Linked DNA regions of Notamacropus eugenii. The protein of the gene in region 1 interacts with the protein of each later gene in a pairwise test. Links are inferred from orthologs where the notes say so. Each region holds a gene or a part of one and is shown on either strand. Other genes may lie near its edges.

The links.
Region 2: the proteins of CDC73 (region 1) and HSF2BP interact in binary tests that used the Homo sapiens proteins (3 or more experiments, as listed by UniProt). The link is inferred for Notamacropus eugenii from reciprocal best matches to the Homo sapiens genes CDC73 and HSF2BP.

The regions. Positions count from the first base shown.
Region 1 is NC_092873.1:449,563,816-449,567,565, forward strand, and holds the start of CDC73 (parafibromin), read right to left. Parts: upstream 2,679-3,750; coding exon 2,548-2,678; intron 1-2,547.
Region 2 is NC_092876.1:415,254,160-415,257,909, reverse strand, and holds the start of HSF2BP (heat shock factor 2-binding protein), read right to left. Parts: upstream 2,571-3,750; 5' UTR 2,468-2,570; coding exon 2,420-2,467; intron 1-2,419. UniProt on the Homo sapiens protein: Meiotic recombination factor component of recombination bridges involved in meiotic double-strand break repair.

The DNA of each region.
Region 1 (3,750 bases):
ACTTCTATGTTGCACAATTTTTAAATTAACAGAATGAAGACAGTGTAAAATAGTTTAAAATCTTTTGATGGGAAAAATGTCACTATACTATATTCTTTTTATCGCTGTTAGATCATATTAAGTGTCTCCCTAGAAAATTTACACAAAACACCTTGACCCAGGTCTTTAGTTTGCACATTCAATACTACACCACAGGATATTAGGTTCCAAAACATAGTATACATGTGTGTATGTACACACACACGATACTTTCATACAGTGATTTCCAGTTGGGTTAGTTAAGTCTAATAAAGCCATGCTAAAACTTTAAGTACAAAATCAATTCTATCACAGTTTGCATAGCAAAGTTTTTTTCATCCCATTCTCATTCAGGCTTGGATCATCCAGCCAGGAAGTTCAACAGTTTGGCTTTTCTTCCTTTTTGCAGCTCACATTCTGGGAATCTCACTGTTAGCACTTTTATGAAAAGAAGGAAAATATGAAATTAAGAACAATATACCAAGCTAATTTATCAGAAAGTTCAGGAGGGACACTGTTACTTGGAAGAACCAGAGGTACGAAGAACTGGGTTTAAATCCTACCTCTGGGTACTTAGAGGTAGTATAATACAGGGGAAAAAACACTGAATTTGGATACAGAGGATTAAGGTTCAAATTCTACCTATCACATTTACTACCTTGCAAGTCACTTAACCTCCATGGGCCTAATATCTCTCATCTGTAAAATGAATGGAGTTGTACTAGTCAACCTCTGAAGTCTCTTCCAGATCTGGGTCAATAATCCTATAACTCTTAACATCTCAGTGCTTCAGGAAACTGCCTGGGACTTTATTTGCTAAAGGTCCCTAGGCCTACTGCAAACACAAGAGCTCCTTCCCAAACCTACATATTGTTTAAAAAAATTCAATGACTAAAATGGAATGTCTTAGAAAGGAAAAATGAATACGTATGTAAGGATATAGCACTGATATCAGTGTACACAAATGTAATACATGCCAAATTGGGGAGTGGGGGAGGAACACCTTATACTTCAGCAATACAATTCTGAATATGTGATTCAAAGGTCTCCCTAATCAGGTCCCAATATAGCTTTCTATCCTGGTTTCCTACTACTTTTCTAATCCCCTCAAACTGGACTACTTCCTCAAACATATCCTAAGTTACCTTGCCTCTTATATTGTTGCACATGCAGTTTCATCTTCCTTTAAAGTCCTCCCTTTCCAAGTTCCACTTGTATAAACTCTGCATATCCTTCAAGAACCAGCTCAAATACAGTCAAGAGTGAACATTTCTTCTCTTAAGTCCCAAGGCATTTATCACACAGCAATAAATATCTATGTGTCACATCTAATAGACTGTAATCTCCTTTCAAATAGAGTTTGCACTGTTTTTTGTCTCCACACTTCCCTAGCTGCTCAGTGAATGTGCTTCATAAAACAAAAACACACAATAATTTTAAAAAGTTTTGTGAACCTATGCAAATTTTATTAAGGAGATACTTTTAAGAAAAACTGAATATAACATGCTATACAAAAATCAACCAAGAACATTAAACTCTTCTGTATTAAGAATTCGATATGACAAAAATTACCTAAGAATAACTGAATTTCACCTGGCCTTTCAACTATAGTTCAAGTTCTACACCTTTCCCTCTGCAGAAGACTGAAGTTTTGGCTCCCACGAGCCTAAATGTTAGGAGACAAAACAAACCTCACCAAGCACAAGACGGACGTAAGTAAACGACAGTAAGGGTCCTGTGCCCCCAAATTCCTGATAAATCACAATTTTAGCAAAGCAAAGAAACACAAAGGGACTTCCTAATGTTCAAAAACCAGACCTAAAAAGGTAAATTAGGGCCCACACAGGTAATCATATTCCTTTGCTCCATCACACCATCTTTTAAAAAGGCTCATTCCTTATAACTACTCATCTCCATTAGAGTGAACTTCTGGGGAGCAGGAACTGGGTTTTTTGCCATTCTTGGAGCCTGGCTCAAAGTAGGCGATTACTGCATGCCACTTGACTGATGTCCACCAGGCACCTACCGCCTTCGCACCCACCCTGGCAGGGCATCATCCATCTCCCAGACTAGCAATGACATCCCTAAACTGCGCTAGGTTCCCACCCGCCTACCTAGCCCCCTCCTCCCCGTCTGAGTGCCCCCAACAGCGTGCTCGGACCCCTGGACGGCGGAGAAAGGACGAATGCGGGCAGGAAGCGCGAGGTGGGGGGCGAGCGGGCGGGGGAAGGGACGCCCCAACAACGCCAAGCGACCCGCCAGAGTCCAAGGCTCCCCAGAACCCCTTCGGTCCCGCCCCCCGCTCGCTCCCTAAAGGTTTCAAGGGAGCGGACACGGGCAGGGACGGCCCTTCCTTTGCCCCTCTGGCCCCCGAACTGAACTCCGGCGTCGGGGGAAAACTTTCCCCGCCGCCCGCTTCCCCCGTCTCCTCTTTCCCCAGGGAGTCCGGGCAGGAGAGCGGGGAGGGGGCGCTGTCCTTCCCCGGCCCGCCCCCCCACCCCCCCCGCGCCCCGGCGGAGCTTCACTCACCCCCAGATCACATAGTTGGTCTTCACGTTCTTGGGCCAGGAGAACTCGCCAAAGATCACCTCGTCCCCCTTCACCACGATTTCCTTCTTCTGGATGTTGTACTGGCGCAGGACGCTCAGCACGTCCGCCATCTTCCCCCCCTGCGCCTCGGCCGCCGCCGCTACCTCGGCCGCGTCCTCTCCGCCGGCCCCACAGCCTCCGAGCCGCCTGGGCCGCCTGGGCCGCCTCCCTCCTCCGGGCTCCTTGCTCCTCCCGGCCGGCAGCCGGCAGCCGCCGTCACCAGTACGACGCACCAACAGGAGCGGCACTAACAGCCGCCCGCGAAGACGACGGCCCCAGACACCTAGGCAGCTGAGGACCCCGCGTTATCGGGCAAGGCCCCGCCGCCGGCTGCCCGAGCTGAACGCCTGAGCTCGAAGTGCCTCCGCTGCCGCTGCCGCCGCCGCCGCCGCCGCCACCGCGGTCCCGCTGCCGCCAGGGGGAGCCGAGGCCTCCCGAGAGAGGAGCTCGGCCAGACACGCACGCGGCGCCGCAGACCGCGCAATCCTCACACGCTCAGTCTAGACTGACCGGGGTACGCGCTTGTGATGCGCGTGCGCGTGCGGCCCGAGCGCACCCGGGCACAGCGCGCACAGCCACGCGCCGCTCAGAAAGCAGCCGACTTCGGGGCGTGGCTGACGCGCGGTACAGGCAGCTCTAGCCCACCTCGGCGCGGCGGCCCTCGCCGGGTCTTCAGATCTAGCCACTGTGCCGGTGGTGTTCTGGGCTTGCTAGGTGGCTGTGCCTGACTCCTCCGGGCTCATGCCTACTTCTGCTCTTTCTTACGACCTGTGGAGGCGCTTTTAATGTGCATGGCGCTCTCTTCGCCTGTGAATCCCACCTTGGGTGGGCTAGAAGCTCCAGGAGAGCTGGAGGCTGGTATCTTATTCCTAGAAGGATGAAGTCTCGTCCGCAAGCCTTCGGGAGAAAGGCGAAACGCAGTCCGGTTCTCTAGGAGTCGGCCAATCAGCAGTTGTTCAGCGGCTGCTGTCTGCCGGGCACTATGCCCATCGCTGGGTAGACCAGGGTTAAAAAAAGTCCCTTTCCTCCAGGAGTTCATGGTCTAACGCTGCAAAGAACTGTGCGCAAACAAGATACATGCGACAAAAACTGGAGATAATCCCAGAGAAGGCTCTAGTGTAAAGGAAATGTGGGGAGAGCTTC
Region 2 (3,750 bases), on another chromosome or scaffold:
CTATACCTGAAAAGAATTCCCATTATAGACATGCATGACAAAAGGTCATGTAGCATATGTTTGAAGACCTTCTAGGAAGGAAAATCCACAACCTCATCACACTTTTAAAAAACAGTGCTGACATCAAATCTTAATGTGCTTCTTTGTAACTTCTACCACCTGGGGGCTCTGCCCTCCAGAACAAAACTGAACAAATCTAATCCTTCTTCTACATGATAACTCTTCAAATACTTAGGGACAGCTACCATGTTCTCCTTGAGTCTTCTCTCCTTTAATCTAAATATCCTCAGTCCTTTTGACAGACTGTCATATCATGTAGACTCAAGGCTGTTTAGTATTCTATCGCCTTCCTCTTAGTATTCCTCAATTTAACAACAGCCTCTTAAAATGCAATTCTCAAAACTGAACATACTGTTCCAGGTAAGTCTAAACAGGGCAGAATACGGTGGAATTGTTATTGTTATTGCTGAGTCATGTCTGACTCTTCGGGATCCCACTGGAGGTTTTCTTGGCAAAGATACTGGAGTGGCTTGCCATTTCCTTCTCCAGCTCAGTTTATAGAAAGAGAAACAGGCAAAGACGGTTAATTGACTTGCCCAGGGTCACACTGACTAGTTAGTGTCTAAGATTATATTTGAACTCCAGAAGATGAGTCTTCCTGACTCCAGATCAGGCACTGTATTCACTTTTGCCACCCACCTGTCTAGTGGGATTATCTACTCTTTTTGCCTGTTTCTATTAATGTAACACAAGCCCTTTTTGGCTCTGAGGACTGCCATATACTACTGCTAACTCAAATTAAACTTAATAGTCCATTAAAATCTCCAGACCTTTTCTGAAACTGAAAACTATGCCTCTTCCAATTTGTATTGGTGAAGCTGATTTCCTGTACCCAAATACACAATTGTAAACTTAACCCTATTGCATTTTATCTTACTAGATGCTATTCTACTAATCTGTCAAGATTTTTTTCGGATACTGACTCTATTATCTTGTGTTAGTTACCCGTCTCAGCTTTATACCACCTGCAAATGGACAAGAATACTGTATTATTATCTAAGTCATTGACTGAAATGTCACAGGACCAAGCTAAGGACAGATGCTTAAAATACATCACAAAACTCCTCCTGATAAATGAATTCCAGCTATCCCCCAAGTTCTGAATCCATCCAATTGTACTATAAGCTAGTGTACATCTCTTTATCTCCTCCACATAAATAGTATTAAATACTGCATATCAACTTTGTTAAAAATCTATGTAAAGGACCTGTATGGCATTCTCCTCAGCTCCCAGTTCAGTAACCCTATCAAAAAAGGGCAATTGGTCTGTCATAGACTGTTAACTAACCCTCTGTAATCAACACTTCCTTTTCTGGATGTTTAACAACTATTTCTTGAATGACTTTTCCCATCTCATCACCCCCAACTGTAAAAATGACAATACCCCATGAAGTATGGCATGTATGCATAGTCTGTATAAGTGTTCTCTGGTACAAAAATCCCATGAATGGCCTTAGGTTGCCCCCCTAAGAAATCAGGCCCCAAACTGGCCTCCACTCTGGGTCTCGAAAAAAAAGAATCTACTTAAGTGCATAATCTTCTGTAGCCACTGGGAGCTTTACTGCAGTGAAAGCAGCCGGCTTTTAGCAGGAAGAAGGATTAGCAATTACAGAGGGGCAGGGGCTTGTTTTCATAAGGACAGGATAAGGGAGACAAGGGCATCTCATGACCCAGGACGGGGGAGGGGAGACAAGGAATTCCAAGGACAAGGGGGAAGTTTTGCGGTATTTTATGGTATTCCAAGATAAGCGGAGACTTTAAGGGGCCAGGAAAAGGGCAGCTCAACCGTTGGGGCGCCTTTAAAGGATGAACCAGGGAAAAGGGCAGCTCAACTTTTAAGGCCCCTTTGTATCCACATCAACGCAGAATGCCGTGTAGACGGATCCAACTCCCACCCGTGTGCTTCACCAAGCCATGGTGTAAACTTATTTGCATCATGCCCGGCAACAACAGGTCAAACGAAAACGGGGTTCGAAGAGTATACAAATAGGGGGCTGCCCAGAACGAGCCTTGCCCCCCTCCCATTTCAAAGATTTCAAAGACAAGCCGGCCCGGCCCCCTTCTCCCTCCCCCCACACGAGGACGGCAGTTTTGCGGGGGGACCCCCAAACAAGAGGAAGGCTTCCGCCAAGGTGCCACCAGGGCCAGGCCGGGAGGAAGTGGGGTCCGGGCTCCCCAGCCTCCCATCCCCCACCACACACACACACGCCCGGAAGGCGGCGGGAGGGCCGCGAGCGCAGGGCTCCCCGGCAGTTCAAATGTGGAGCCCGTCTCCTAGGACACGGAACAATATAAACAGCTGTAAGGCTCTGGAAAAGAAAGGGAAAGATGCGGAGCCGCCTCGGGCCTCCTCACTGACCCGGTAGGTATCCTCCCCGCCCGCCGTAACTCCCGCAGCGTCCCCCATCGCTGCCAGCGGTCTCTAGTGTTTGCGCCTGCGCGGCGGCGTCACGTGAGGCTCCACCTTGAATGAGTGGAGGAGTTGGGGAGGGGCGGGGCCGCGTCGGGGCGGGGCTGCGTCGGGGCGGGGCCGCGTCGGGGCGGGGCCGCGTCGGGGAGGGGGCGGAGACTCAGGTGCTGCGGCAGATTAGGCGAGCTGTTCTCGGAGACCTCGTGGTGCTGCCTGTGATCGCGCTGCTCTGCCCACTGATGGCTACGCTTCCGATGTTGTGTTTGTCTTTCCTTCTCGAAGACGATCTTGACGTCAAGAGGATGACATGACTTGCAGTTGACTTTAACTTGAGGGAGGGAGGGCTGTGTAAGGTCACCAACCTCACCTTCTTCTCCTGAGCCTTCTGGGTCCAGTGGCCTGATCTTCATCTGGAGATGGCCCAGGACGCAATGGAAGACCTGGCCCTTTCAGGCTAAGGTCCTACCACATCCTTACTTTGAGTGAGATACACCCATTCACTGAATAGGCTTCTTTAATAAAAAAAAAAAAATAATCAAACTGGGAGGGGAAGACTCTCAGGGTTCCTAGGTAGAAGAGAAACAATTACTATTTAGTAAAGTACACAGTGTGGCACTGAAGTCAGGAGACCTTCCTTTGAATCATACCACCCACACTTAACCATGTTTCATCTTTGCCTAGCCAAGGGGTGGGGAACCTACATCCTCAAGTACAACTCTTTGACTGAATCCAAACTGCACACCCCTGGGCTGTCATTTAACCTCTCTGTGCCTCAGTTGCCTAATTTGTAAAAATGAGACCAGAAATACAGCCTAAATGAGATAGAGAAAGCAAAGCCCCCCTTAAGTGCTATTCATATGTCTGTTATTACTGTTATTTGAATAGCAGCTGGGTGGTGCAGTGGATAGAGTGTCATTTCTGGAATCAGATTTAACTTCCATCTTAAAGAGTTCATATCTGACCTCAGATACTTAGTTGTGGAATCCTGGCCAAAACATTTAATCCTGTTGGCCTCAGGTTTTTCATCTATAAAATGAGTTGGAGAAGGAAATGACAAGCCATTCCAATATCTTTGCCAAGGAAATCCAAAAAGGATTCAGGAAGAATCTGACACAACTGAACAATAACAGATATGAACCTTAATTATACTTCATCTAAAAGCATGGCCAGAATTCAGCCATGTTACATCAATCCCATCCAGACCAAACACCAGTGATCACCAAGTGAAGCATCACTTAAGTGACTCAGGAAAAGCATGGCTCTGGCTCTTCTTTCCTATC